Linked DNA regions of Oryctolagus cuniculus. The protein of the gene in region 4 interacts with the protein of the main gene of each other region in a biochemical or structural test. Links are inferred from orthologs where the notes say so. Each region holds a gene or a part of one and is shown on either strand. Other genes may lie near its edges.

Region 1 (4,617 bases), on a different chromosome or scaffold from region 4:
TGCTGCCTTATTGTGGGCTGAGGCCCAGTTTCTCTGCCTCAGGGCCTTTGCACACTCTGTCCCACTGCCTGGAACCCTCTCCCCAGGGCCTCTGCACGCTGCTTCTGCCTCCTCACTAGTGTCTCTGCTGAAACACCTGGGTGCTCAGGTTCTCGCAAGAAACAGCCCCACGTGCTGGGCGGACCCCAGGCACCAGAGGGCTTCATTAAACAGGCAGCGAAGGGTGCCCACCAGGCGTGGGCAGACTCCAAGCAGACAGGAAACACCTCCTCCTCCAGGGAGCCTTCCCTGGCTGCGGGGCTCCTGACGCCCCCATTCTGACCCCACCCAGACTGTAACCGTTCTTCTCTCCCCCTCCCACCCCTGCCCCGGGCAGCTCCTGGCCTGCCCGGACCAGGACAGCGCCTCCGAGTCTCAGGGCAGACTGAGAGCAGACAGCGTGGACGCCACCCCTGCCGGGCCCAGAAGCGCACGGGCCGCCCAAGGTCACAGGGTGAGAAGCGCCAGGGCTGGGGCCCAGGCCTGGCGCTCCCCACACTCCAACCGGGGGACCCCTCAGGAAGGCAGCCAGCATGGGCCTGCCCAACCGGAAAATCAGGACTTCCCTGCGCGGCACCACAGGCCCTGGGCCAGGTCAGGTGCCCCGGCCGCTGGTCTCCGGCTCTGCCAGCTCAGCTGTGGGGCCACGCGGCCGCCTCTGATCCTCCCCCGGCCACTCGGGGGCCCCAGCGGAGGCTAGGGAGCAGCACGGGGCGACCCACAGGCACCGTGGGGCCCGCCACTCAGCAACCTCTCGGGCCCAGAGGTGGGCGCAGTGGCCAGGAAGATGGTGGCCCAAGAAGACACCGTGGGTGCAGAACCCACCCTCGGCCTGCAAAGCCCAGGGCTCTGGGTGTCCTCAGAAGGGCCCCATCGGCTCCTGCTCCTCCGGTTGCAGCCTCGCAGTGGGGTGGCTGTGGGGGCCCCAGAAGCCCTGCCCCACGGCTGACCGGCTCCTCGTGGGGCAGCGGAAAGAGGCCCGAGCAGGATTCTGGCCCCACCGCTTGCTCGCAGGGATGGTGAGCCAGGTCCCGTCTCTCTGTGCCTCAGTTTGCTAATCTGCACAAGGGAGACGTCCCGGGGCTATATGCAAAGGGGCTAGTGACAGCCAGCCCCACACGGCCCTGTCCTGGGGCCCTCCCCACATCTGGGCAGCTTGAGAGGCAGGAGCTGTCCTCTCCAGCAGGGCCGACCAAGGGTCCAGGGCACGGGGAGCTAACAGGGTGCCGGCCAGCAACACCGCACCTGGACAGCAGAACGCGCCTCGTGCCAGGCCCCATGCCCACCCTGGAAGGGAGCTCCTGGCTCCGCCCCCTGCAGGAGGCACAGCCAGTGCCAAGGCCCGGTCCAGGTGCCGAGGGCTCAGGGCGGTCCAGCCCTTGCCCAAAGCACCTGAGCACGGAGGGTGGGGGCTGGCCGCACGTGCGGGTGTGGCTCCGGCACAGCCAGCACCGGCGCGGAGGCGGCAGGATGGAGGCAGGCCGGTTTCCACGCTGTGAATTATTCAGTGGCTAATTCTGCTCGGCGCAGAGAGGGGGCAGGAGAGTGAGTCAGAGCCGCCCACAGGGGAGCAGGGGGCAGGAACCAGGGCTCCCCAGGGCCTGAGGCTCTGCTGAGCAAACCCGGAGGGCCGGCCTCAAGTCCAGCTGGGGTGGGCAGCCCCAGTGCCCGGGCGGAGCTGAGACCCGGATGAGCCCTAGGGTCACAGAGCGTCCTGGAGGAGCACACACCTCTTGTTGGCTCACACAGGGCCCGCAGGGGACAGAGCCATCTCCCTGCCACGTTCCTGGGGCACACGGAGACGGCCCTCCTCCCGCTCGCTGTCTCTGGGCCTGTCCGGGCCAATCCCGCTCCCCTTTCTAATCTGCTTAGAAAGGTGGTCAGCTGGGGGACCGGCGCCCAGGGAAGCGCCGAGGCCGGGGGCAGCGCCGTGCTCCCCAGCACACAGGCTCACCCTCGGCTTCCCGTGCTCCGGAGAGGCGAGGCCACACACAGCCCTGCTCTGCGAGAGTGAGGTGGCAGATTCCCCGGCCCCATCCCCCGCCCCCAACAGGCCCAGCCGGACAGCAACCCAGAGGTGCCGGGGTGACCACGCGCCCCCGGCTCGGGGCTTTCTGGAATCCGGATCCCCGTGCAGGAAGGAAATGACCACAGCCTGGTCCCCTGCCTTGCACTCTAATGACAGTGGCTCGGCGCTGGGGCTTGGCACGGGGCCAGGCCCGGGCTCCTGGGGAGAGGGCTGCAAAGTGCTCCCTGCCACCCCCCAGCTCTGCCCAGGCTCAGCCCCTTCCAGCCTCCCGGACGGGCCCACCTTGGGTGCCCACAGCGGCACGCGGCATGCTGTGTGTACATCCCGGCGCCCAGCCACAGGGGGCTGGCGTCTGCCCAGGCCTCTCACCCACCCAAGCCTGGACATGGGATTCCCCAGCTGGGGCGACGGGGCGAGGGGGCGAGGAATCCCCTCTGCCTGCCTCAGGCCTGCTAGCCTCTGGTTAGGAGAGGAACCAGGCCGGCGGCCCCCGGTGAGGAGCTGGCCAACAGCAGGCAGGCGGCAGGGGGCCCGTGGAGGGGAGGGGGCCGGCTTCCTGGAACCCTACAAAGTGAGGCCTACAGAGCTGGGTGGGTGGGGGCGGCTGCAGCCTGGAAGGGGTCTGGGACCCTTGGTGGGGGTGGGGTGTATTCAGGCCCTTGAATAGGGGGCCCCCCGGAAGGAAGAGGGGCTGTGGCCCACGAGGAGGGGGCCTGATGGGGGTTGGGGGAGTCGAGGGGGCCATGATCCGGGCCCCTGACCCCGCGACCCAGGGGCCCCGTCGCGTCACCTGCTGGTAGTCGCTGTCCTCGGGCCGGAACTGGCTGCTGGTGGGCTCCCAGCGCAGGTCGAAGTGGGGCAACCGGTGCAGGAGGCTCACCCACCAGGGCGCCGCGTAGCTGACCCCGGCCATGGCGGGCCCGGCCGCCTCCGGCTGCACGGCCGCTGCACGGGGCTCCCTCGCTGGGCCCGGGCGCGGGGTTCAGGAACCCGCGGACCCTGGCCTGGCAGCCTGCATCGTCCGCACGCTCTTGGGCCCGGCCCGGCCCGGCTCGGCCCGGCTCGGCTGCGCTCGGCTCCGCTCGGCCGCCCGCGCCCGCCGCCTCTTTGTTCGCCGCCGCCACCGCCCCCTCCGCGCCCCCGCCCGCCAGCCGGAGGCCCCGCCCCCGTCCCGCCATTGGCTGTCCTCCCCCCTGGGCCCGCACCCTCCCCGATCACCCGCCCACCGGTCCCGCCTCTGAACTGTCATTCGTCGACCTCCCTTCGGGCACGCCCCCTATCCCTGGAGCGCCCTGCTGTCTCTGCACTTCCATTGGTTTTTTCTCTCTTTGGTCCCTCCTCCGAGTCCGCCCGCCCTTTCGTTGCCTAATGGCCCCGCCCCCTGGAGGTCCTGCCCACAAGTTCCGCCCCTGCCCCGCCATTGGCCCATCATACTAGGCTCCGCCCACTCCCTCGCCCAGCCACGGGGCGCCTGGAGGGGAAGGCTGGGAGAACGGGTCCTCGATCGCCCAACGGGCCTCTCTGGGGTCTGGGAGCTGGAACCTGGCTGCACACGCAGCTGTGCTCATCACGCGTCCCCTCGTCGGTTCCACTGCTGCACGTGGGTCCCATGTTTGCAGCGGGGGCCAGGCTGCAGGTGCTGGTCTGTCTGGAGTCCAGCCTGGACCCTGCCGCCTGGGGCAGGTTCCTTGACCTCTCTGTGCATGAGGTCCTCGCGCGTAGGCGCCGCGAGCCGCCCGGGCGCCAAAAGGCTGTGTGTCTCAGGCAACTACGGCAAGGCCGTGGCTTTTGTCAAAGCCTGAGCCCAGGTGCTCACCCTGGTGCCCAGGCAGCTGGCAGGAATGGCAGGTCTGGACTTTGGAGCCGCAGGGCGGTGCTTCCTGCTGGGTCCCCGGGCAGTGGAAGCCAGGGAATGCCGGCCAATGGACTTAGGACAGGAGCTCAGCCAGGTGGGGAGAGCGTCCCTGTCATCTCGCGTGGGTGCAGCCCCTTGGCTCTGCCTGGTCACCGCCCTGGCTGGGTGTGCAGCCTCTCGGCCTGCCTGGTCACCGCCCTGGGGCCTTCCTTCTGGACCTCCTGCGCTCTGAGTAGCAGCTCTCCCCGCCCTGCCCTGGGCTGCTCAGCGGGCGCTGTGGCGGGCGGACGGGCCCTGGCTCGCAGGCCGTGGGTCTGTCCTCAGATCCTGTGACTACCCTGGCCTCCTCGTTTCCTGGGACAAGGCCTGCGGCAGGTCTTTGGAGAAGTGTGGTTTCCTTCCTCTGGACAGCTTAGAGCTCGCCCAGCAGGGACGTCCGATTCCCCATCTGCAAAGCCAGAACTTGGGGGGGGGGTCCGCCTCAAGCATTTCCTCCCCAACGCATCAAGCTGCAGGGAGCCCCAAGGCCATGTCCAGGGGTAGGTGGTACCTGGAGAAGTCACTCCTCTCACCTGCCCCAGGTGACTGCTGGGCGTGGCCACCCTTAGCCTCGCAGGACCAGCCGAGCCCTCCAGGGCACAGCAAGGGGACAGCCCACTGCTGCCCCCGTCCCGGGCTGATTCCGGCCTCAGGA
Region 2 (4,552 bases), on a different chromosome or scaffold from region 4:
TCCAGGGCTCAGCACCTGCGGCCCTGACCTCTCGGAAGGCCAAGAGTGTCCCGTGGGCTCCCAGGCCAGGCCTTGCCCAGGACAAGGAGTCCCACCGGGAGCGCCAGCCCGCCCAGGACGGGCCCCCCGGGGCCCAGCTCACAGCGCAGCCAGCTGTGGTGGGAGAGGGTGGGAAAGGAAAAAGGTCCACGTGAAGGCCCCCGCCCACCCCACACGTTAGGCCCAATACCTCCACTGCCCCCAGGCCGGGGGTTCTCAAAGCGGAATCTGGGGAACCCCTAGGCGGAACCCCCCAAGGGATGTGGTCAACCAAAGAGGTAGGAGACGGCTCTTCCCCAGGGCTCACATGCTTGCCCCGCAGGGTTACTTCCAGGTCCCCACCCCTCCTGCGGCTGGGGGGTCTTTGCTGAAGACTGGGGGAAGGGTGGGCTCGCCCTAGAAGCTTCCTGAACCAGGCTGCGCACAGCAGCTTCTGGGGCCAGCTCTCTCCGAGGGCTTCACCCTACACTCAGACCAGACAGACAGACAGAGACGCAGACGCTGCTGAGGGGCCAGGCTCGCTCCTTCCCAGGGTCCGGTGACTCCGCCCACCGGGCAGGAAGGGCCTCGTCGCCCTGGGCCAGGCTAAGGGCAGGGACAGAGAGCGAGCCGGGAAGGGGGCCGAGCTGTCCTGTCTACCCCCAGTTAGGAACTCGGACTGAGAGAAGAGGGACCCAGAAGGCAGCCGGGGCGGGGTGAAGACTTGTCAAGAGGCCAGGGTGGCCGCACGGGCAGAGGCTGCCGTACCTTCTGGCCAGCGTCAGAGCTCAGGCTGCCTGCACGTGCCCAGTCCGGCTTTGGCTCCCAGGGGTCGTGGGCGGGCGGGAGCCCTCGCTGGGCCATGTCCTCGGTGCAGGTGAGCTGCCGCCGGCGCAGCTCCTCGTCCGTCTCCTTGTCCACTACCAGCAGCCGGGTCTCCCCTTCGACAGCCTTGATCCTCTGCACCACCTGGGGCAGGCAGGGACGGGGGCAGGTCAGCGGCCGGCAGCCCGGGCAGCACGTGGACGGTGGCACCACTCCGGGATGGCCTGGGCTGGCAGGCAGACAGGCAGCCAGGCTGCCAGGGGTGGGCGGCTGGCCCCGCCGGCTCCGCCCCCCGCCCCCGGCTCCCTGACACAGCCAGCCCTGAGCTGCTCTCAGCCCAGGGTGGAGGTGACCAAGACGGCACTGAATGAGCTTCAGGGGCTCGGTCTGCCCGTGCGTGTGCACACGCTCGTGTGTGCGCACCATCTGTTTCCAAGTCTGCCTTCCAGCCCAGGTTGGAGGCGGGAGGTGCTGTCGGGTGTTAGTTTGGCTGTGCATGTTCGCTTGCTTTCAACTTTCTCACGGGAATCTCAACCTGCCCTAGACACAGACCGTCTGCCTGCAGACCACAGACCCACTCCTGCTGGGCCTGCGGACAGCTGAGAGCTGGGTTCCCGCTCAGGCCCCCGCACACGGTCGGGTAAGGAGGACAGCGGGGAGAGGGGCAGGTCTGCCCGTGGCACAGGTGCGGCGTTCCAGGCGCTGTGTGTCTGGGAGCACACAGGGTGCCAGCGTGTGCCAGCAGGGAGAGGGCAGTGCCCACTATGGCCCTCGGCCTGTGGAAGAGCGGAGCAGAAGGCTCCCACCTGCTGCCCAGCTCCCCAGATGCTGTCAAGCAACAGGGGGAGCGAGCCAGGCCCGTCCTCGCCCGGCCCTGCTCCCCGACTTGTGACCCAAACTGAAGCTCCAAGCCTCAGTTTCCATATTTGTAAAGCAGAGTCCCGGCCGCACCTCCTGGGGCTGGGGCTGGGTGTGAAGTTCTCAGACAAGTGCCCAGGGGCCCGGAACAGCAGGTGCAGCTGGAGCGAGGATGGCCATGGCTGTCACACAGAGGCGGGGTGCCAGCTCTGCCAGCCCTGCCTCCCCCACCTGTGGCCCTGACCCCCACTGCACTTCAGCACACAGCACCGCTCTACCCAGCTTCCAGTCTCGCTGGAAGACAGAGGCTAGGGGACCCCGGGAAGCCCGGCCAGTGGCTCAGCTGTCTGCTAACCCCTAGGCCCAGTACTGGCCACGTAGACAGGCCACAGGCTCAGCGGTGCTGTGAGGGACACGGAGCAGCCGGAGCAGCCGGTCCGGAGGGAGGCTGGACTCTGGCCAGGATCTGAGGTGAGTCCCTGGCCAGCGGGAGACGGACATCCCAGGGGTTACAGCCTGCAAGGGAAGAGGCCCTACCCTCTCCAGCTGCAGGAGCAGGGGGCAGTGGCCACAGCGCCCCGAGGAGGGTGAGGGTCGCAGCAGCTATGGAATGTGCCACCAGGGACTGCCAACTCGCACCGGATCCAGGCACCCCGGCTGCAGACACACTGGCCGGTCTACACCGCCCAGACGCGCAGGGGCCTGGCTGCTGGCACCCACACGGGCAGGACCCCGGAGGCCTTGCGCGGTCACACAGTCCCACAGGCTCAGGAAGCACCCGGGTTCACCGACACACAGGCTGGAGCCAGGCGGGGGGAGGGGGCCGAGGGCCGGCTTGGAGCCGCAGTGCGGCCCCTCCCTGCCAGAACGCCTTCCCCCGCGCTGCGGTGCGGGGCTGAGCGTCGCGGGGGAGGTGCGGGGCCCGCCACCCGCAGGCAGCGCCCAGCCGGCCGGGGCGCAGCGCGGCACCCACCTGGTGGTGCGTCTCGCCTTCCACGTTGACGCCGTTCACCTCGACCAGGCGGTCCCCCGCGCGCAGCGCGGCCGCCTCGGCGGGGGAGCCGGGCTCCACGCGCCGGATGAACTGCCCACGGCGGCCCTTCTCGCCATGCAGGTGGAAGCCGTAGCCCTGCTCGCCACGCACCAGGCGGCACAGGCGCGGCCGCAACGGCTCCGGCGCGGCCATGGCGCCCGCTGACCACCGGCCGGCCGCGGGCTGGCCACGGCGCTACGGGGCCCGCAGGCCGGGGCGCGGGGGCGGCGCGGGGGACGGGCGGCCGCCTCGGCGTTGCGCTCGCTCGGCTCCAGTCGCCTCGGGCTCGGGCTCGGGCTCCGGCTCGGGCTCCGGCTCGGGCTGGGGCACCGCCCCCGCGCCCGCCCCTTCCCCGCCCCCGCCGCCCGGCCGCCCCCGCCCCGGGTCCACGACGCGCTGGCCTGGCCCTGCCTCCCGGCCCCAGCTGCCCGAGGGGCTCTGGAGGGGAGGCTTCAGGGCCGGGGAACCCCTGTGTCTGGCAGCACGTTGGTGCCAGCGCTTCTGGCTTCCTGTGCAGGGCCTAGAGCCGGCTCCTGAGCTGGGGGCCAGGTGGGAGACAGTGGCCCCAGGCAGAACCCCCAGGGAGGCCCCGGAGTGAGGCCCTGCCTGCCCTCCCTGGGCGGTCCTTTGCCCACCCGCACGGTTCACCTGCTCCCCAGCCACTGCCCTCACCCCCGGGACCCTCCCGCAGCCAGGGCTGCCCTGCACAGAGCCCCACGACCTGCCTGGAGGCCCCTGGAGGCCGTAGTGACAGGGTGGGCTTTGTGTGCCCGTGGGCTCCCTAGAGGTCGGCCCTCCATTCTCGCACTTGGCTGAGGCCTACCCCAGGCCCCGGCAGACCCTGGAGTCCCAGGCTGCAGGGTCGGTCGGGGGCTGGCCTCCTGCCCCGAGACTTTGGCCTCTGTACTCTGTGGTCAGCACCGGCACACCTGAGCCGAGGTCTCTGGCACCTGCCCCCTGCCTCTGCCACGCCTCCCCTGCCCTGCGGCTGACAACCGCCAGCAGCACTTTGCCTGGCCAGGCCTCTCCAGGTGCAGTTTTACTGGCACAGAGGGAAGCACCCCTCCCCCAGGCCCAGGGCTGTGCGGCCCAAGCCTGCAGCCTTCACGGCTGAGGCCTGAGGCGGCCTGGCCTGCCCCGCCCCAGCCCAGCAGGGACCCCTGCCCATGCCTGCCCCAGGGGTGGGGCGCAGCAGTCCAGACAGTTCCCAGGTGGGCCCCAGTCCTCACCCCTTGCTCTCCCGTCTCCAGTTCTCTTGGCCTGGGCTCTCCAGCCCCCACCCACACCGTGGCCCCCTGGGTGCCCACCTCCAGGAGCTCGTGGCATCGTGGGTGCCCCCACCCTCACCTCTGCAGGTCTTGAGGGTCGGTGCCTTGGGCTGACCACCCGCCTGTCCAGCTGCAGCTGGCACCCTGGACCCTGCGCCCACTGTGTGCCCCCACCCCGCAGCGCCCAGTACCTGCCAGGCTGTAGCTTTGTGGCCACATTGTTTGAGGGGTGAGGAAGTGTTAGGTGGGAAGTTAGAAATGAGCCTGGGTGTGTGTTAGAGCCCTGCCCCAGGGGACGCTCCCCGGGCAATCCGCCCGCCGCCCAGCAGTAACCCTCAGGCCTTCCTCCAAGGCAGGCGCCCTAGGGGAACCTCCCGAGGGCTCCCCAAACCTGGAGAGAAGGGGGAGGGGGTAGAGAGAGAGGCGGGGGCGAGGGAAAACTGGACCCGTCCGTGGGAACCAAGGTCCTGCACTCGGCTGTCTCCTCTGAGCCGCCCGCCAGGCCTGCCAGGCTCCCCGTTCCCCCAGCAGCCTTGCTGCCCCCAGTGTG
Region 3 (4,026 bases), on a different chromosome or scaffold from region 4:
AGGTGCTAGCAGAGCCCAGAGGGTGGGCAGATTGCTCGGTGAGTGCAGGGGACTGCACTATAATCTCGAATGTGTGTCAGCGTCACCACAATGCCACCTGCTCACCTCCGAAGGAAGTGAACCACAGGGAAGGGAAGAGTACCTGGGTGGCGTTCAGCCAGAAGGTGCAACACCCACCCTTCAGTATGGCCTCCGCTTCTCAATCTCAGGCACCAGCTTGGGGAGGAGTCTAGATTTAAATGTGTGAGTCCTCGTGAGCTTATTAGTCTGTTTTTTTTTTGCAAGAGGATTTTTTCTCATCACCCCTTTTTATTTAGCTGGGAATGTTATCAATCCTCTCCGAAGTTTTGAGAGATCAACTGTTCCTGAAAAAGGGTCCCAAGGGCCTCTCAAAGGTCTTTCTACTTTCTCCCCACTTGCACTAGAAGGTGACCCCAAGGGGGCCCAAAACAAAAAGTCAGTAACTGGTATTTCTCTTGGGAAAGAATTGCTATCTATCTGGTGAAAACTGAAAGCCCAGTGATAAATCAAACAATGTCTCTTTTACACATCCTATTAGCCTTTGACCACAGAGAAAATGGTAACTCTGAACTCGTCTGGATTCTGACGCCTGTTCAGGCAGCAGTGGGAGCCAAAGGAGAAGCCATAGAGGCAGCAGGTTGGGTGCATCCACTCAGCAGGGAAGCAGCTCCAAACCACCAACCACTCACCATACCTGTTCCCCACCCGCTCCATTTGCTGGTCTCCATTTGTGTAGGGTTTCTCATTGTTCCCTTACAGAGAGGGCCTTAGGATGGTCACGGTAGCCATCTCCTCTCAACCACCCCTATCAGGCCTACAAAGGCTGCCCATGGTGGGGAAGGCAGAGAAGTCTCTGAGATGTGTAGTTGTTCCTTTGGTCAGGGCTGAGTTGCTGCATCCCAAAATAAGGATGGAGAATCAGAGTCGCTGGCATGGTCACCGCCTTGCCTGGTCTCCTCCTCTGAGGTCTGGACACCAGCAGAGGACAGCAGTCCTTGAGTTCCAGACTTGGAGAAAATTAAGTAAGAGCAGTGGGGAAGAACCATGTTTCTGAACTAAAAGTTAATGGTAGAGTGTGTTAGTCACTATTATCCATATGGATGGAATGGAACAGAATATGGGAGGAGGGGAAAAAAAAAAACAGTGGCAAAACCCTTGCTCCTTTGATACTGCAAGGACAAATGCCATGATTTTGGCCACAGGCTATTTAAGAAGATGAACATGACCAAATGAGGTTATGGGACCATGTGGACATCATTAAGTATCAAGCTGGCCAGACCAATAGGTTCCTGAGGCTAATGTTGCTTTTAAGAGGCCTGGGGCCAAGAAGTGTTGAAAAATCCCTTTCTACAAATGAATTACTTTTTTCCAGGCTAGGAAAGCTCTCCCACAGTGGCACCCACCCCCGCACTTCACTCCCTCCCAGCCAAAAGCTATCTGTGCCAGAGACGCAGGTAATTGTTCACAATTTCCCTCTAGGTCCGCAGAAAGTGGAAAAAGTTCTGCTTGTACCAGCACTGCTCAATGATGGCCAAAACTACGAGACTGAGAATGTTCTTAAGGTTTTTCTAAAGCCGCAGAGTTGCTATGGATTCCATTTCTGACCTCAGCAACGTGGCCTCCTGAAAACCTTGGCCTCTGATCCTACTTTTCAGACGGATTCCCAGCGAGCAGTGAGGAAGACTACAAACATCGGGAGTGTAATGAACTCCATCAAAGCCAAGTTGCAACTGTTCTGGAGTGCTCCTGAATCAGGCTCTGCGACCTCTTCGTGCAGTTGCAATGAACAAAAGTCAGTCTGAGCTGCATAATTAAATGACTTTTTAAGAGTGAAAATTTTGGGGACACGCAGCAATGGAGATTTTTAAAAGCAGCAACTGCAATCCAACAAGTTTCTCGTTAGTAGATGCAGATCCACTTTTTGTTCTGTGTGTGTTGCCTGAAAACACACCAACCCCCTGGATCACGCATTTTTAGAAGAAAGACTGTTAACATCTAATATGTATCTTCAAAGGTAATAACTGTGAATGTACATGTGCACTCATGTACATGGGTGAACTCTGGACAGAGTACACCTGACAGAGAACTGAAATACAATAGTAAACTTTCAAGTTATACATCCAATATCTACAATGTTCTTGAATTGAATATCTCTTGGAAGAAACTCTGAAAGTAAGTCCAGCCATATCATTGGACATCACTGATGAGCTATCTCAACATAAAGATCTATACAGAGAGCCGTATACTGTAGGGAAGCTGCTCTTTCAAAAGCTGATTGGAGGAAAAAGTACATTTCCCCTAAAAAAGCAAAATGCCAAGAGATGGGGGGGGCGGCCAGCAGTTCAATTAGGGTGTGAGCCCCAAAGAGCAAAATGCTGGGCTAGGCGGGGACCTCAACAACCCCAAAACTCTGTAAGAACCCCTCGCACCAAGATTACGTGCTGCAAGCCATGAATGAAAGGGGAAGGTCTACTTGAAAGGGCAGAAATCAACGTCCGGTGAAATAAAATACTACCTGTTTAATGCCCACCACCCCTTTACAAACTACACGTCCACTCAACAAGCCTTGCACGCTCTTCAAGGGCTTAAAATATGCACCAAGGCACTTCAAAGATGGGACAAAAAGCTGAGCGTCTTTTGGTGCAGAAGCCACATGTTTGAAACACTTGCATCGCTTTCCCAAAACATGCATCTACTGCGAACTCTCCGCAGCCCCACGGTGGAAGTGCCAGAGAGAGGAAGACGCTTACCCTGATCATCATCTCTCTTTCTATAATGCTGTCCTCCAGGGAAAACATCTCGGACACAGGTCTCTCCTTCACAGGCTCCTTCCGGGCCCGCTCCTTCACGCTGGTCAGGTCGGGTTCGGAGATGGACGGGCCCAGAGAGGCCCCGGCTGTGGCGGGCTGGTCGGCGCGGGAGACGCTGAGGGCCTTGGCGGGCCCGTGTCTCAGCAGCCTGGCCCTGGTGACGGCCGGAGGGAGGCTGCCCGGCTCTGGCCTCAGCGCCCCGTTGCTCACGCTCTTCCTTGGCCCGGGGTACTCGGGCGGGGGCTTGTTGGGGATGCGGGCCAAGGCAGCCTGCAGCTGCGCGCTGTACTCCATCTTCTCACGGAGTGTGGGGATCTGCGCCACGGGCTCGGGCGCCTCCTCCTCCTCCTCACTCTCACTGCTGTGGATCAGCATGGTGGCATCAGAGAGTGTCTTCTTGTGCTGGTACTGGGGCAGCTGCGGGGGCTCCTCGGGCGGGCCCTGCTCGCGGAAGGTGTTGCGGCGGGCCAGGGGGATGTGCAGCGATTTGAGCGTCATGGCTTCCATGCCGCGCACCATGCAGTTCATCACCTCCAGGCTGTGGCGTTTGTTCACTGCGCCATGGTGCTTGGTGGACGTGAGGGGCTCGCTCACCTCCTGCAGGGACTGATGCACCACTGGCGAGCTGTCCTCCTGGAAGGTCTTCACCGACAGCTGCACCTTCCGGGTCACCAGGTCTGGGCTGCTGCCACTGACATACTTGTGGCGATGGCTGGCCAGGTCCGGGGTGCTGGTGGCGGGCCGGGGGCGAGGATAGGGGGGCGGCGGCCGGAAGTGGTAGTTCTTGAGCATGTGGGCCGCACTGTAGTTGTGGCTGCCTTGCAGTTGCATGTTGGCCAGCTCTGGGGTGCTCACCGTGTGTGAGATGGCGCTGGCCCCCGGCTTGCTGGGCACTGCCTTGCTTTTTGGGGTCACTGGGTCACTAGGACCCAGGAGTTTGTTTCCATAACCCCCCTGCAACGCATATGGGATGGTGTAGGGGTGTCTCTCCCGCATCTCGGGCTGGCTGTACACCAGGTCCTCCTGCTGGTTGTAGGCGTGGGTGTTGATGATGTTGAGGTTGCGCAGAGATTGGCTCTGGCTGTCCGCGTGCACAATGCCCCTCTTCATCTGCCGCATGACCGTCTCATAATCGGGGGTGGGCCTGTAAGACGGCACAATGATGGCGCTGTGCCGGTGGCTGGGGATGTAGTCA
Region 4 (3,473 bases):
TTTTGCAGGTAATATTTCAATCTAGTCTTTAATGTGTTCATTGTAAATGAAACCAAAGTACTAGAATTGACTTTCAAGAATAGGGAGAAATAAACTTCCAAAGCTAAAGACAGCAAACCATTATAAAGCTTACTTCTGTCGTGTACATGATAAACCTACTCAGTGATTTCCCATCAAGACTCAAAATTAGTCCAGGGAAGTCTAAGGGGGAAAAGAAAGCCTTTTCTTGTTTGCTCCTTTCTAATTCATCAGATACTACTTATTATGTGTTCAGAGGGCATACAGTACTCCTCTAGGCACTATCCATGTTAATAGCCCTTTCTAGAATACTAAACTACCTCAAACATCTGTAGGTTACCCCAATCAAGTTTAAACTATCTGTGAATATAAACTACTAGCCATGTACTCTAAATGCATACATTCAAAGCTACCATTTTAAAAATAAACTGGAAAGTAGAGAAACCTAAAAACAAAGATACATTCTGCTATCACACTATTATAAACATTTTAAGTGTGTGTGTGTGTATAGAGCGAATAATCAAGATTTAAATAATATGGTAAAAAACTAGGAAATGTAGATTTTACCAAAAGAACTACAATAATCGCTCCAAGCTATACCTATAAACAGACTCACTAATATGGTAATTTGCCTAGGTTCCAACAAAAACAAAAACAAACAAACAAAAAACCATAAAATATCCACCAAAACCTATACTAGAGTATGTGGCAATAATTAATATATTTCTATGGAAATTGTCTCATGCCTTATAAGCTCCTAAAATAAAATCAAGGTCACTATGTGACTAATGATAGCACTAGGAGGAAAAAAAAAACACTGAAAGTAAAACAGTCTTCAGCCTTAGTTTCAGCTATCTCTTCAAATCAGCATTAATCATTCAATATTAGATACAACATTTTTGGCTTGTCAGACCAGTAAGTCTTGTTTTCCCACTGGCCAAAGGCAGCTGAAGAAACAATTGCTTGAACAAATTAAATGCTGTGACATGAAGCATTTGACTTCCAAGTCTGAGTACTTAGTTAAAATGACTGGTGAACGTCTAACTGGGCAAAAGGAATGGCATCCATCATCCAAACAGGCTCACTTCCCCCAGCCCCCAAATGAACAGTAGTTATAATAGCAAAAGAAATAAAACAGTTTTGTTTTTTGCTTTTTTGTTTTTTGATTCTTTAAGGCCAACTGTGAGAGAGGTCAGCAATATATTAACAGCAGCAATGGACAAGGAAGAGCAGAAGAGTGGATGAAAGAATCTTGCTGGACGTTTGTTCATCTGTTTCTGTATTGGCCAGAAAACTGTGACCGGCTTATTTGGAAATATCAGGTATTATGTCTTATCTCCTTAGATCCTTCACAGATTTAGAATTCAGTCTACCTGAGGGCTCTATAACCATGTAAGAAAGCTTTCTTTATCTAGCTTGGTGGCAGCCAAAACAGACTCCATATCATTAAGGATGTCAGAGCTCAAAGCTTCCTGCAGACTTGGCATCAACTCCTCTCCTTCTATGTTCATTCCATCTCCTTCCAGTGTTCCAAGGTCCACATTTGTCCCAGGAATGGCTTCAAGGTAGTCTGGGAAACGGTTCTGCTGTGAGGGCAGGGAGCTTTGGTTTATGGTATCACCTAGTCGGGAGAGAGAGCGATTAATAAAGGCCTTTTAAAAAAGGTAACATCAGAAGTGTATCATATGAACATCCAGAAATACAGAGAGAAAGAAAAGCACGCCTGACCAATCTGAACTGAGGCCCAGAATTTATTTTAGGCTCTACCACCCACAGATAACAAAAGAACAATACCAAGTTTACTTTTTCATCAACATTTGTTCTGATATTAACCAACAGTTTGATGGCTTATGTGCTGAGCACTGAAGGGGATCAGGAAAAAAATAAAAATCCCTTCAAAAATTATATGTAGCAGGGTGAAAAAGAACAAGTATACTATACAGTAGCATTACTACCCTAACCATCACAATGAGATGTAATATAAAAACAAATGGTAGAGGAGCCAGCACTGTGGCATAGCGGGTAAAGATGCTGCCTGTAGTGCCGGCATCCCATATGGGCACTGGTTTGCATCCTGGCTGCTCCACTTCCAATCCAGCTCTCTGCTTATGGCCTGGGAAAGCAGTGGAAGACAGCCTAAGTCCTTGGGCCTCTGCACCTAAGTGGGAAACCCAGAAGAAGCTCCTGGCTTCTGGCTTCTGGCTTCAGATTGGCCCAGCTCCGGCCAGTGCAGCCATTTGGGGAGTGAACCAGCGGATGGAAGACCTCTCTCTGCCTCTGCCTCTCTGTAACTCTGCCTTCAAATAAATAAATAAATATTTAAATAAGTAAATAATTAAATAAATGGTACAGACCTTATTTTTTCTCTTACGTACACTTTGGGGAATACTAAAATACAATACAAGGACTGCATGAATATTCTATTAGACTCTTGGAGAGTCACATTGACAACAGCAAAACAAACCTCCTACAAGTCTCTAAGTAAGAGTCTTGCTTCTCTGTTTCTAAACTCACCTGGCCACAGAACTTTTTTTGCATATGACAACATTAACATTCCTCAGAGCTTCAACAGAATATGCTTTGTGAAAAGCTAATCCTTTGAGCACTTTTTATAAAGGTTTTGAGAAAAAGAGAAAATAAAATGGTAAGAGTGAAGAGAGGCATGGTGCATGAGATAGGTCTGAAATGACTCCTAAGGGTAGTTTAAGATCAAGGTAAGTACAAACAAGGAGGTGGGGTGAACTCTAGGGAGCACCAAAGCCATGGTGCTGGGTAAGTACAGGCACACAAGAGAAGCTGCTGGGTACATGCAGAGCCCGCCAGCTACAGATCTGTTCCATTTCTTGCCACTTCATGAAACAGCTCTAAAGTCCAGGGCAGTAGGCACCAGGAAAAGCAAAGGAGAAATGGTTCCTTAAATGTCCCTGTGAGGCAGGTATTTCTTAGCTCCTGAAACACCACTACAACTATTCTAAAAATAAAGTAGATGGGCCTACCATATAACCTTTCCTATCCATTTTCCTGAGCCCCATAACAAAGTTGAGCCAAAACCCCTCAGAGAAAAGAGACAGGCAGACGTTAAATCAAGTACAGAATACTCTCTCCAAAATTAAAAACACAAATCTAAAACAGGGAGACACTTCTAATAGGGTCCTCAATTACCAATCTATTAGCATGTTAAAATAAGTTATGTTATTTTTATTCAGATAGGGTTAAGATACTCAATCCATGATACTGAAAAACCAGGAAAAGATTTAAATTACAAATCAGCATACATAAACAAAGCTGGCTCAAACTGAATGAAGTTTATAGGATTGTAACTGGCTTTCTTCTAAAGAACTTTTGCTCATCATGGTTTACTGGACCTGGTGATACTATGATTATCTCTGAGTAGAGGTCAGGTAACTAAAATAAGGAATACCAACCTGTATCCATTTCATCAACACTGTTCAAGA
Region 5 (3,863 bases), on a different chromosome or scaffold from region 4:
GCCCAGCCTGCGAGCCACACTTACAGGGCGCTGGGGGCACCTGGCCTACCTGAGGCGGGCTGAGGCCTGCCAGCACCTGCTCGGACAGTCACTCCACGCTAGAAGCAGGATCCACCCCGTGCTGGGGCTGTGTCCCCGCCTGGCTTTTGCCCTCCCGGTGGGACGGGTCAGTGTGACTCAGCTCAAAAGCCTGGGCGATGACATATGTGAAGGATTAGAGGTCTAGTACCTTCAAGTACAAACAGAAAGCCGCGCAATGTAGCCGGGAGGTCTAGAAGTGCTTTGCTAAGTGACTTGTGAGAACACATTGAACATCTGAATGCAAACACGGCCCTTAAGGTGTATCTGAAACCATTCCGTCAGCCTCAGTCAATGCTGCTTCCTTTGTATTTGCCCTCACACGTGTCGGAAAATCCCACTCCATCCTATTTCTCGCAGCTACAGTAAACTGTAGCTCACCAGATGTGAATTACAGCCACATCTCCACGGTGGAGGTTTCCTGGTACTTCCAAGTGGCACAAAACAATTTCAGGACCCCACTGACCATTCTCAGTGTGGCCAAAAAGAACAGGCTCTTCTATGGTTTTGGGTGGAAGAATGCTTCCTGGCTGGTCCGAACAGAGTAAAAGTTAACTCCTCCCGAGACCCCAGCGTGAGGGGGGTGGGCTGCTTCCTACGCGCGCACTTGCAGCACGCTCTGGGGGAGCCGCCCAGGAGGGCTGACATGACAGCAATGGGCCATGAGCAGCAGGCATGCTCCCTGCTAGGACGCAGTGTGAGAACGCCCAGATGAAACACCTCTTATAGACAGTTGCGCCAAGCATTTATTCCCCCACCCCCGACCCCCACACAACTTTTTTTTTTTTTTTTAACAAAAGGAAAAGAAACTGGTTTTCCCCCCCCCCCTCAGAAACCTGAATAAAACGACCACTTTTTAAACAGGTAGTTTAAAAGGGTTGCAAACACGAGCAGTCAGTCCGGGCTTCCTGAAGACTGCACACAGGGGCCATGGCTTTGCACCGTCTCTGAGTGGCACGGCGGGCTCTACAGTTCCGTGTCCCCCTGGAGCAGCACTGGGTCCCGATCATCCAAGAGCAGATCCGTGTCCACGACGTCGGCCTCCTCCACGCCGCCGCCCAGCTGCTGCACCACGTCCTCGTCCAGCACGTCCACGCTCTTGAGGGGTTTGATCAGACTCAGCTGGTCCAGCGGCAGCAGCCCCGGCGCCCCCGCCGGCCCCGTAGTCCTCTCGATCGTGGCTGCCATGTCCGCCGAGAAGGCCGCCTTCTGGGCCTTCTGCCTCTGCTGCTCCTCCTGCTGCCTGTGGGTTTTCATGTGTGCGTTTCGGCTTTTGATCTTGAAGAAGACTCTGCAGAGGAAGGAAAGCGGCGTGTGAAATTCAGAAGGGGAGTGCTGGGCAGTCCGGGTGACCTGCAGGGAAGGGGTGTGCGTGATCTGCTGTCTGGTCTGGGGTGGACGTGACAGGCTCCTGTACACCCTCCCCCTGGGACCTGTCACCTCGCCTCCCTCCTCCGCGAGGAGGCGGGACAGGGACAGGAGCGCTGCACACAGTGCGCCCGGCTCCCTTTTAGGGACAATGGAGGAGAAATTCGTGGAGGCACTCCTGTGCACTTGGGGTTGGGAGCACCTGCTCTGTCTCCTCGTCAGGTCAGCTCTCCTTCCTCTCTCCCCCTCGCCGACCATACCCTCCCTACCACAGAACCCTCAAGTCGAGCTAATGCGTTCTGGGAGTTGCCATTCCTAAAAGCAACCCGTCTTCTGCCTGGGGCCTCGTCGTTCCACAGTCACACTCCTGGAGGATGCGTGCACAGGGTAAACCATCTCCTCTGTCTCTTCTATCCTTCCCCCTCAGGTTCTGGTCCCCTTGGGTGCTCCTCTCAAGGCCACCAGCCCCTGTGTGTGGTCAAACCCAGCGGCCCCTCTTCTGTCCTGGCTGTGCTGGGCTTCCGAGCTGGACCCGCCCCGATGGTTACTTCTGAACCTTCTTGCTGGTCATTACGTTATCAAAGGTTCCTGGCTTTCCCAGGACACAGTGCTTCTCAGCTGGAGCGTGCGCCCTCCCAGGGTGCATCTGGCCAATGCCCAGAGATGTTTCTGGGGGAGAGGGCAGTACTTCTGTATGCAGGGAGGCTGCTAAACACCCAGCAAGGTAGCGGACAGCCCCCTTTCTCCAAAGGAGGAGTTATCAGACCCGAAATGTCCACTGTGCTGAGGCTGAGAAACGCTGGGGTAAGAGGACATGGTATGATGGGGGCTAACCCTTTAGGCCGGGGGTCTGCCAGTACAGTCAGTGGGTCAGATCCAGCCTGGGTTTGTCAATAAAGCTTTATTGGAACACAGCCACATCCACTTGTTTATATACTGCCAAATGGCCAAGCTGAGCGGTTGTAACAGCGACAGTCTGGCCCCCAGAGCCTAAAATATTTACTATCTGGAGCTTTTTCAGAAAAAATCTGCCCAGGTGTGAGACAGCCTGTTTATGAAGAGGGGTGAACATAAACACGCCAGGTTAATTCCTGAGCTCCTAAAGGAAAAAAAAAAAAAAAAAGGAATCTTGATTTTTACAGCCTGCGTCAAACAGGGCCGATGAATCACGATCCCACTTGGCCGTACTGAAAACTGTTTAATGTAATGAACACAATTATAGCAGCTGAAACACGCTGCGAGCATGTGCCTCATGTTATTCCTAATCTGGAAAACCACAGAACATGTTTCTGTTTTCTATGAAATCTTAACTCTGGCAGAAAAAGATCTCAAGCAACATGAACACACACACACACAAACACACACACGTACCAGGTGCCCATGAGAAACAGCCAGAAATGGGACGTGGAGGTAGAATACCCCTGCCTGACATGTTGGGGCCCAAGAAGCATTTTTGATTTTGATCTTTTTTTTTTTTTTTTTTAGCTTTTAGATAATTTGCATGTACACAAAAAGCACTTTTTCATATACCTTCTACACAGAGATGGAAGGCAATTTTACACACAGTTGTAATAATTTTGTGCATGAAACAAAAAGTTTCACAGTATGGAGTGCCCCACTTGTCACACGGTATCTAAGTATTTTGGGTGTTGGAGCACTTTGGATTTTCAGGTTAGGGAGGCTCCACTTGTACTAACTGTTGTTTGTTGAACGGTCCTTTGTCTCCACCTGGTGGAATAAGGCGTTGGAGCCTGTTTGAGTCAAACGAGGGAAGGCGCTGCTTCCTTGCAGAGGAAACTGGGCAAGACCCCAATGCCCCCACACTTCTCAGGACACATAGGAGGGAGAGGACTGAGAGTCAGCTCCAGGTGGGTTGGTCACTTTTTCCAGTAAATACGGGAGGTTCATTCTTTCATGGTCCCCTCAATGGGTGGTGACATGAAGGTGACGTCACATCCGGGCCCTCAAGCACAGGAGACCCACATCTACATTCATCTTGCCTATCCTTGTGTTTGCAGAGGGGAAGAGCCGTGAGTTCCGATTCACTGCGAGGGGTGCAGCGGAGTGGGGCTGGGTTCACGCAGAGGCAGCGGGGTGGGAGGCGGGGGACGTACGCCCACACCGCCGGCCTGCTTTGCATCCCTGCTTGGCCGCTGGCTGGGTTCTGCGACAAGTAGTTCAACCTTCTGGCGGCTCCATTTCTGCTTATAAACAGGAGGTACTTGCCTCGGAGGGCTATTCTACAGATTCATTAAGACACGTAAGACACCCCTTAAAACACTGCCAGGCAAACAGCGAGCCCCTGGTAAACAGCGGTGATACCTCATAGGCCCCCTGAGGCTGTGCAAGCGAGGGCCCCGGGACCCATAGGGGCTTTCCTGGCAGGGCCTCAGCAGCCACCTGGCCGACAGCTCCCG
Region 6 (4,749 bases), on a different chromosome or scaffold from region 4:
CCGCTGCTTCTGCTCCGGGTCTAGCCAGCCTCAGTGTGGTCTCCCCTGCCCCCTGCAGCTGGGGGGCGGCTCTGGTCCCCATGAGGCCACAGCTGCTCAGGGTCATTCCCCTGTAGTTCTGGCCCCCGCCGCCTTGTGCCTGCACCCACATCGCCCAGGAGACCCCCGGCCCCCGCCCCCAGCCTGCCCTCGGCTGCCTCTGGGGACATCCTCACAGGGCCAGGACTGGGGCTCCTAGCCACCTGCCCGAGAGCGCGGGGGGGGGCCCTCTGAGCGCTCCCCACTGAACGTGTGCCCCGCGTGCAGCCTGGGGGCTTCCTGCTGCACCCCCAGCGAGCAGAGGGGCGTGGCCAGACCAGCAGCAAATCACAGATTTATTGAGGCAGCAGCGGCTTGGGGGGCGGGGGAGTGGGGAAGGGGCGGGGCCTCCTCCCGGCCCACGAGGCCCCAGGCCCTTCCCCGGCACTTGGCGCCCGCGAGGCCTGGCAGGGACCCCGGCGGGCAGGCAGCAGGCGGACAGGCGGCGGCGGCGGTCAGTCCGTCCGCAGCCAGCAGCCCTTCTCCTCCACCTCCTTGGTCACCACCAGCAGCACCTCGCACAGGCCCTGGGCCAGCGCCGCGGCCAGGAAGGCCCTGGGTGGGAGAAAGGGGGAGGCTGAGCCCAGGCAGCCGCGTGGGGGTGGGGGTGGGGTGGGCGGTGGGGGCCCTGCCCCCGCTCACCTGACGCCGTCCTCGTCCCCCAGGGCCTCGGGCGCCCGCAGCTTGGAGTCCAGGTTGTAGTAGACGCCGTCCACCTGGCGCAGGGCCACCCAGTGCCGCCGGCGCAGCGGCAGGGACAGCAGCCCCAGCGAGACGGGGGAGGGCAGGTTCAGGATCAGCCCCAGCACCTGAGGCAGGGCCAGCTGGGACAGCGGCCTGCGGGCGGAGGGGACGAGGGGACTCGGTCGCCGGCCCTGCCGCCCGCCCCCACCCCCTCCCTCGCCCGCCCACCAGATCCAGGCCTGTCCAGTCTCCAGCACAGCCGCCGCCCATCCGCACCTCCCTCCACCCCCCCTGCCCCCCCCGCTCCTCCCTCACCCACCCACCCACCCGTGTCCTCCCCACTGCCGCCAGCCCACCTGCTCCTGCCCAGACTGCCCGTGAGTGGGCCCTCTAGCTCACCCCGTGGCCACGCGGCGCCCGGGGCCCTACCTCCTCCTGTCCCACCACACGGCGGCCAGGCCCAGGCCCTGCAGGGCGGCCATGATGACGTTGACGTCATAGCTGCCGGTGCCCAGGAAGCTGCGGTGTGGGTTCAGCCGGGAGTCTGGGGCCAGCCTGGGGGGCGGGCGAGAGTCGGGGTGGAGGCGGGGACCCCCTCTCTTCCCACACCGCAGGAAGGGCCCCTCGTCCTCGACTCATCCTTGTCTTCAATGCCCCCCAAGACCTGCACCTCTGAACCCCGACCCTGCCCTGCACAGAGCCCCTCGGCCCCTCTCGCCATCACCATCCCCCTCCTCTGTCCTGCAAGCCCACCCAAGGCGTCGCCTCCCTGGAGATGCCCGCTGACCCCCAGGCCCGGCCCTTCAGTGCCTGGGACCGCCTGGATGGCCGCCACTGGCCCCACTTGTCTCTGGGAGGACCCTGCCCCCGCCCCGCCCCCCCATCGACCCCGTCCCTCCTGCTCGCCCAGCGCCCACAGCCCTGCGTGGTCTGCTCCCTGCTGGCTCCACCTCCCAGCCTATGCTCCAGGCCCAGGGCCACCCTGCACCCCCACCCCATGTCTCTGGGCCCAGCCTCATCCAGCTTTGTCCCCAGCAGGCCCTGGGGGGCAGGTGGGAGGGGACAGCCCACCTCCCGCCCCCACCTCCCGCACAGATCCCTCGGGGGCTGTGGGTCAGCGGCGCAAGGCGGGCAGTGGGGAGAGACAGGCAGGGCCACTTCTGGGGTGCACGGGTGGGGTCAGGGGGAGGCCGGTGGACCAGGGCCAGGCCTGAGCCGGTGGCTGGGAGGGACAGCAGGCAGTGCAGACGCGATGCAGGCGTGAAGTCTGAAGTCTGGGCCGGTGAGGGCAGCCACGCCCGGCAGAGAGAACTAACTGCCCGTGCAAAGGCCCGGGGGCAGCACAGTGCGGGAGGCCCAGGGCCCGGGGCGCCAGGGGGACGGGCAGCAGGCTGGCTCCGGGGTTGTGTGGAGGCTGCACCGGCGGAGGCCCAGGTAGGAGGCGGCGGGCCGGGCGGTGGCGGTCACCTCTTACAGATGTCGTCGGCAGCCTCCTGGCTGAAGAGCCGCTGCTGCAGGACGTTGTTGAGGGCGTGCACGGCGCACAGCTCCAGGCGCTGCCGCTCGTGGTACACGGAGGGCGGGCGCGGCCGAGCTCCCGGGGCCTGGGACATGCCGTCCTGGGCTCCTCCTGCGGAGGGGGCGCAGAGGCCGCTCAGGGGCCCAGGGCCTGGGGGCGGCTTCCTCCATGGAGGGCAGGGCCTGGGCAGCCGGGGACGACACGGGACCCCCGCGCCCTGGCTCTCCAGGGACAAGGCTCCCTGGCATCCGGGGCTGGCGACGGAGACGCAGCCCTCCGCGGCCCTGGGCAACGGGACCCCCGCTGGTTACCTAGCAACGGAGGACCCCCCCCCGACAACAAAGTCTCTGATTACCCAGCGAAACCGGAAGTCTCCTCCCCTGCCTCTGGGTGACGGGGGAGGGGTCTCTACCGGTCGCCTAGCAACACCAGAGCCCGCCTTCCCCTGGCAACCAGCCCCCTCCCCGGACAACAGGAAAAGCAGCGCGGTGCCCAGGTCCCCTGCGCCTGGCGACGCCCCTCACCCCGTCGGCCTCTCTGCTCCCCGGAGCCGGGGGCTCCCGCATCCCCTCGGACGGCGGCGCTGGGCTCCGAGCGCGGCACGAGCAGTTCCGCGCTGACGGGGCAGGCGGGACGGACTACAGCTCCCAGCGACACCAGCAAAGTGGACTACAACTCCCGGCGGCCCCAGCGGGCAGGGCCGCTTAACCCGGAAGTCCGCCGTCGCCCCTCCAGGGCGCGCGACTATAACTTCCGTGGGTCGGGGGAGGAGGGGGTGCAAATCCCGGAAATGCGCCCCGCGCCCGCCCCCTGGCTGCGACCGCGCCCACGGCCGCTCGGAAGCTCCTGGGAAACGCAGCGGGTAGGTTCTCGCGATAGCTTCCGGGCCTGTGCCCGCCCATTGCAGTGGCGTCACACGCGGAGTGCGGACGCGGCGTGACGTCACGGAAGGGAAAGAAGGCCGGGATGGTGGGGGAGGAGCCTCGGGTCTTTACTGAGACTGGAGGGACATCCCGGGAAAGGGGGGCCGGGGCCTGGCCGGGGGTGGGGCGGAGGCGGGGAGGGTCCGCCCGCCGAGGGGCCGGCCGGGGAGGGCGGGGGCGGGGAGGGTCCGCCCACCGAGGGGCCGGCCGGGTGGGCGGAGGCTTCTCAGCAGAGGTGGATTCCGGGCCCGGGGGGCAGCTGGCGGCAGCCTGCGGGGGAGACAGGAGCTGAGCCGGACCCCCGCGGGGGCACGGGGCAGTCGCGGAGCGAGAAGGCTGGGGGGCTCGGAAGTAATGGACGTCGGGCCAGGCGGACCCAGGCCCCCCGGCCTCCGGTCCCCCGGCCCTCCGCCCCCCAGACCCTGGCCCCGGGCCCCTGCCCCCGGACCCCCGGACCCCGCCCCCTGGATCCCCGGGCCCCGCCCCCAGACCCCGGTCCCGCCCCCCGGACCCCGCCCCCAGACCCCCGGCCCCCGGATCTCGGGACCCCGCTCCAGGGGCCGGCCGCACCCAGGAGGCTGCGCCAGAAAGCCGCGACGGTGGCCGAGCCCGTGACGGCGCCCGGCTCTGCAGGGTTCTCTCTGTGGGTGTGCACGGCAAAGCGCCGGCCCGTGGGCCCCGGGGGTCCGCGCAGCTCCACGTCCACGACGTGCATGTCCGCGAGGCTGCAGGAGGCGGGGGGGGGTCAGTGTGGGGGCCTGCAGCCCGCGCGACCCCTCCCCGCTCAGCTCCGCTCACCTGAGATCGGCCACCAGCACCCCGATCACGCCGTCGAAACCCAGGCTGGGGGCAGCCAGCGCAGCGGCCGCCATGGTGTTGGAGTTACGCGGGGCAAAGGGGCAGAGTCCACGGACGGGGCCTTCGTAGAGGACCGTGCGAGGCCCAGTGCTGTGGGCTGCGGCAGCCAGGGGTCCCTCGAGCCGGAAGCCATCCGGGTGCGTGGCCATAGTGACGCGGAGGCTCTGGGAGCGGGGGCCGAGGTCAGAGGGGCTGGGGTCCTGCAGGCCCCCTCCGGCCCCGGGGAGCCCAGCGGGTCCCTCACCTGGAGGCCTCCGGCCGCGTCCAACCTCATGATGTCCTCAGCGCCCCACAGGGCCCCTCGAGCCACAAACACAGCGTGGTTCCAGCGCTGCGAGGCCTCCCGGAGCTGCCGCTCGGTGGTCGGGTCAGCCAGCGCCGAGGGTGACCCCACCTGGCCGTGGGTGGAGGCAGGGAGGGGTGGGGTCAGGGACGCACGATGGGACCGAGACAGGAAGGGCTGCCAGGTTCCGGGCCGAGGTGGGGCTCACCAGGAGATTGGCATGGCACAGGATTTGCACCCCATAGTCGTGGATTATTTTGGGATGGGCCACTTCCACCACAAGATCAGGGTGCCTGGGGGGGGACAGAGAGGGGCAGGTCCTGGGAGAGGTGCCAGGCTTCCCTACCCCCTGGACCCCCATCAGAGAGGGATGGGATCACACGGCAGCCCAGGGGGCCGGAGCA
Region 7 (4,026 bases), on a different chromosome or scaffold from region 4:
TTTCGTCATTGGACCACCCCTAAAAGTTTCAGTAGTTTTCTTGAACCACAAAGAACTGTCTCTAGTTTCCCTTGTACTCTTAAGACTACCAACTGCCTACCAAGTACTGTCACTTTATGGAGAAGAAAATGTCGAAGAATGTAAAGTATGAGAGGAGGATATATTCAATAGTGTCAAACATGAAATCTTGATTTATTGTTTCATTTGATTAATGTCTTGGTTTCCTCTCCTAATTTTGAAGACTGTCTATTTAAAATAGTATCTATTTCACCACATTAAGTATCTCTTACCTAAATTCTGTCAAAAAGCTTTGATGTAAATATCCTTGCAGTTAGAACTTAAAGGCAAATATAGGAAAGAAACTAATATTAGGACCACGTCAAAGCAAAAACAAAATTAAAAGAATAGGCTTTAAAACATAATTACTGCTTCAAACTTTGATAGAGACTTAAAAACTGGTTGGCCATTCTTACTTCCTAAGATAGAGACTGTTGGCAAAAGAAATAGGATTCTCTATCTCGGTTACTAGTGTATGTTATATTAGAAAGGGCTATCCTTTTGTTCTGATGGAAACTTTATTATGATTTCAGAGGTGTTGATTATGCATACATCAGTTCCTACAGATAGGAACAGATAGTACAGGTGTTTCAACCCTCTACATTAAAAGAAAGAAAAAAAGAGCTGAGAATTAGTTTGGCAGCAGGCAGTACTGCCTCACATGTTCGGGTCCTTTTCTAGCTGTTCCATTCTGCTACCAACCCATGCAGAGAAATGAAGAAACAGTGAAGTTCCACCTATCTTCCTCTTTCAGCCCTTCCTTCTAATGTTCACGTTACATAAGCGCATAACTATCATTGCATCTCTATGTCTTCCACGGGGAAGTGTCAGAACTACTGGCCTTAGGGATAGGAGGAAGGACACCAGAGCAAGAGAGGGGGTGTGGAAACTGGAGTGGGCTTGTCTCTCCACTTCAAAACTACACAGCTGAGCTTATACCACAGTATTCCGGTGTCTGTAGGGTGGAGGAGGCAGCACAGTGCCTGGCTTCAGTGAGAACTCAGAGAGGTATTCAGGATTCTCTGCCACAATGGGCCGGATCCGTCCATTCTGTTTATAAAAATATTTTGTGCTGTACTCCTGCAGGTAGTCTGGGTGCTGAAGGGTGCTCCGAGGCGGCAGGCTGTGGTTCCAGTAGTCAGGGTTGTCAAATGCTTTCTTGGCCTTCTCTGGCACAGACAGTACGTTGTTCTTCAGGTACTCCGCATTCCCCAAGGCATTGGCAAATGTGTTGAGGTACAATGGCTCATTCACGTACTCATCCTCTGCCTTGGGTGGACCACTAGAAGCCTTGTGATACTCAGGATTATCCAAAGCTTGAAGTTCTCCATTTTTTCTTCGAGAAACAAAAGGATTCTCTTCCACAGGATTCAGGTATTCTGAAGGGACACAAAAATAACAGTTAACATATATTCTCTGGAAAGCGTTTGTCAGATGAAGGTTATAAACAAAGGTCAACTTGTTTGTTGAGAACAAGAAAGTGGCACACTTGTTTCTCACAGCTATTTGTGGATTACTAAAAATGTTTACGTGGACCAGAAATAACAAAGTTAATAACAAAGCAAGGCAACAACAAGGTGAGGATCAGAATTCCTATCTCCCAGACTGTTTTTCTTTTCTTCTTAATTGTCTTTCCTACATATGGGACCAGTTATTTTAATGCTTCTTTTTTCTAGAAGTCAGTAATTTATATTAGAAAATAAGATTACCTATCAGGCTAGAAAAATGTAGAGAAGTCAGAATTCTTATAAAGCATATGGTAAAACAAAGGATTAATAGCTTAACTCTACACCACACTGAAGAAATAAAGTAAAGAAATAGTTGTTTCAGATTATATGGTTTCCTGTGAATGTCTGTACAAGTAACAAGGATCCCACTGAACTTTTATATGTAGGAAGAAGAGTATCTAAAGAAAAAAATGAATGAAAACATCTAATATTTTCTAGTTGGCTCTCTGGATTTTATATATGAAACTGCTTAATAAGAAAGTATAATTACAAAAATAATTTTCAATATTTAATCATAATGGAAAAATAGCAAACTAAGTTTGAATCATATTAAATAGCTGTTTTGTATCTTGAACCAGTCATTTAGTGCCTATTTTTGTATGGCTCAGTCTACTAAATCCATCTGGTATAATAAGTATTAGCCTAAAATACAAAAATGATGATAATTAATGCTGCTCTCCTCAAGCTTAATTGCATCTCTATGTATATAATATAGATGACATATAAACATATACACACAGATGGAGCAGATCCTTTTTTGGTCCTTGCTTTTACTGCATACACAAAACACTAAGTTATTCCTATTTTTGAGTCAGAACATGGATATGGCACAAGTCTTTGTTCAGATGCCATCATTCTGAAATAAACTTTCTAAACCCTATACTTAGCCCAACAACATGTAGAAGACAAAAATTCAATCAAGCTCTGAATATAAGCATTTTGATAAAGTTAATCATTAAGCATCATTTGTGAAAGTCGAAAGGCAATAATGAATATCCTAGATTCATATAAATATATACAAATGAATTAAAGAAAGCTCAATAATTTCTAAAACACTATTGATCCCAAATGACTATCTTGTGAAAAATGAGGTGCAACCTTTACTTTTATAGCTTTATAAATAGTAAACTTGTATTTTCTTTTGTGAATACAATCTACTCATCTATTGTCCTCATGTAAACTTATGTAACCATCTGGTTATATATGGAGAAAAAACATTATGGTTGAATGACAATCTTTCCAGAGAGGAGTCTGCTTTCAAGACAATCTGCCAAATCTTCAGAAAACCTACATATGTGTCACCAAGATACAGTTCATCATTAAATTAAAACTTTTCTATATCTTGACAGATTATTTGAATTTATAATATGTATTTAGGGAATCTCTAAATTATATTTGATAAGTGAACATAACCACATAGAAAAGGACCCATACTGAGCCATAAAATAGATGTTGAAGCTGCCACTGAAGACTCTGACAGACATGATCATTGCTTTCTTTTTTTAAAACATTTAGTTATTTTATTTTAAAGTCAGAGTTACACAGAGAGAGAAGGAGAGGCAGAGAGAAAGAGGTCTTCCATACACTGGTTCACTCCCCAGATGGCTGCAATAGCTGGAGCTGTGCCAACCCGAAGCCAGGAGCCGGGAGATTCTTCTGTATCTCCCATGCAGGTTCAGGAGCCCAAGGACTTGGACCATCTCTACTACTTTTCCAGGCTATGGCAAAAAGCTGAATAGAAAGTGAAGCAGCCAGGTCTTGAACCTGTGCCCATATGGGTTGCCGGCACTGCAGGTGACAGCTTTACCCATGATGCCACAGCGCCGGCCCCATGGTCATTGTTTTCTAATAACAATCATCTGTTCATCTGTCCTATCCATTTCATGATGCCATTAACATGGAAGAAAGCACCTTGTGGCACTCCAAAAATTTTTTGAATCATTTGATGTGGATGTTTAACAATTCTACTCTAACTTTACAAAGTCATTGTTGTGTCTTGAAAAACCACAACCTGTTATTTTCAAGACTTGGAGGTATACATATAGGTATATAAATGTCACATCTTTAATTTTTGAAATGTGTCTTACAAGAAATCATAATTTCCCATAATAAACTATATTATTCAAGTGGCACTATTTAAATGGATCAACCAAATCTTTTATTGGTGTTATCAAAAGCTTCAGACAAGGGCCAGTGCTGTGGCATAGTGGGTAAAGCCACAGCCTGCTGTGCCAGCAGCCCATATGGTTTCCAGTTGCACCACTTCAGATCCAGCTCCCTGCTAATGTGCCTGGGAAAGCAGTGGAAGATGGTCCAAGTGCTTGGGCCCCTGCATCCACATGGGAGACCCAGAAGAAAGTCCTGGCTCCTGGCTCCTGGGTTCGGATCAGTTCAGCTCTGGCTGTTGCAGCAATTTGGGGAGTGAACCAATGGATGGAAACTTGCTCTCTCTGTCTCTTCT

What was found.
Region 1: the proteins of YAP1 (region 4) and TTYH3 interact in a test that uses a peptide from one of them, tested with the Homo sapiens proteins (2 studies listed by BioGRID and IntAct, with this or other methods). The link is inferred for Oryctolagus cuniculus from reciprocal best matches to the Homo sapiens genes YAP1 and TTYH3.
Region 2: the proteins of YAP1 (region 4) and NHERF2 form a complex in vitro, tested with the Homo sapiens proteins (2 studies listed by IntAct, with this or other methods). The link is inferred for Oryctolagus cuniculus from reciprocal best matches to the Homo sapiens genes YAP1 and NHERF2.
Region 3: the proteins of YAP1 (region 4) and PTPN14 form a complex in vitro, tested with the Homo sapiens proteins (3 studies listed by BioGRID and IntAct, with this or other methods). The link is inferred for Oryctolagus cuniculus from reciprocal best matches to the Homo sapiens genes YAP1 and PTPN14.
Region 5: the proteins of YAP1 (region 4) and TRERF1 interact in a test that uses a peptide from one of them, tested with the Homo sapiens proteins (2 studies listed by BioGRID and IntAct, with this or other methods). The link is inferred for Oryctolagus cuniculus from reciprocal best matches to the Homo sapiens genes YAP1 and TRERF1.
Region 6: of the proteins of YAP1 (region 4) and JOSD2, one has a biochemical effect on the other in vitro, tested with the Homo sapiens proteins (2 studies listed by BioGRID). The link is inferred for Oryctolagus cuniculus from reciprocal best matches to the Homo sapiens genes YAP1 and JOSD2.
Region 7: the proteins of YAP1 (region 4) and ERBB4 form a complex in vitro, tested with the Homo sapiens proteins (2 studies listed by BioGRID and IntAct, with this or other methods). The link is inferred for Oryctolagus cuniculus from reciprocal best matches to the Homo sapiens genes YAP1 and ERBB4.

The regions. Positions count from the first base shown.
Region 1 is NC_091450.1:37,340,020-37,344,636, forward strand, and holds the start of TTYH3 (protein tweety homolog 3), read right to left. Parts: upstream 3,198-4,617; 5' UTR 2,982-3,197; coding exon 2,859-2,981; intron 1-2,858. UniProt on the Homo sapiens protein: Calcium-independent, swelling-dependent volume-regulated anion channel (VRAC-swell) which plays a pivotal role in the process of regulatory volume decrease (RVD) in the brain through the efflux of anions like chloride and organic osmolytes like glutamate.
Region 2 is NC_091450.1:33,196,567-33,201,118, forward strand, and holds the start of NHERF2 (Na(+)/H(+) exchange regulatory cofactor NHE-RF2), read right to left. Parts: upstream 2,938-4,552; 5' UTR 2,888-2,937; coding exon 2,675-2,887; intron 988-2,674; coding exon 787-987; intron 1-786.
Region 3 is NC_091444.1:28,668,451-28,672,476, forward strand, and holds part of PTPN14 (tyrosine-protein phosphatase non-receptor type 14), read right to left. Parts: coding exon 2,772-4,026; intron 1-2,771. UniProt on the Homo sapiens protein: Protein tyrosine phosphatase which may play a role in the regulation of lymphangiogenesis, cell-cell adhesion, cell-matrix adhesion, cell migration, cell growth and also regulates TGF-beta gene expression, thereby modulating epithelial-mesenchymal transition.
Region 4 is NC_091432.1:93,686,173-93,689,645, reverse strand, and holds part of YAP1 (transcriptional coactivator YAP1), read right to left. Parts: coding exon 3,444-3,473; intron 1,640-3,443; coding exon 1,401-1,639; 3' UTR 1-1,400. UniProt on the Homo sapiens protein: Transcriptional regulator with dual roles as a coactivator and corepressor. Critical downstream regulatory target in the Hippo signaling pathway, crucial for organ size control and tumor suppression by restricting proliferation and promoting apoptosis.
Region 5 is NC_091436.1:127,715,311-127,719,173, reverse strand, and holds the end of TRERF1 (transcriptional-regulating factor 1), read right to left. Parts: intron 1,370-3,863; coding exon 1,045-1,369; 3' UTR 900-1,044; downstream 1-899.
Region 6 is NC_091449.1:7,410,041-7,414,789, reverse strand, and holds JOSD2 (josephin-2), read right to left. Parts: upstream 3,176-4,749; 5' UTR 2,806-3,175; intron 2,593-2,805; 5' UTR 2,376-2,592; coding exon 2,230-2,375; intron 1,318-2,229; coding exon 1,192-1,317; intron 916-1,191; coding exon 721-915; intron 634-720; coding exon 534-633; 3' UTR 358-533; downstream 1-357. Other genes in the region: translation initiation factor IF-2, read right to left, coding at 1-151; ASPDH (aspartate dehydrogenase domain-containing protein), read right to left, coding at 3,431-3,474, 3,775-3,929, 4,003-4,226, 4,307-4,456, 4,554-4,638. UniProt on the Homo sapiens protein: Cleaves 'Lys-63'-linked poly-ubiquitin chains, and with lesser efficiency 'Lys-48'-linked poly-ubiquitin chains (in vitro). May act as a deubiquitinating enzyme.
Region 7 is NC_091434.1:28,236,273-28,240,298, reverse strand, and holds part of ERBB4 (receptor tyrosine-protein kinase erbB-4), read right to left. Parts: intron 1,437-4,026; coding exon 991-1,436; 3' UTR 1-990. UniProt on the Homo sapiens protein: Tyrosine-protein kinase that plays an essential role as cell surface receptor for neuregulins and EGF family members and regulates development of the heart, the central nervous system and the mammary gland, gene transcription, cell proliferation, differentiation, migration and apoptosis.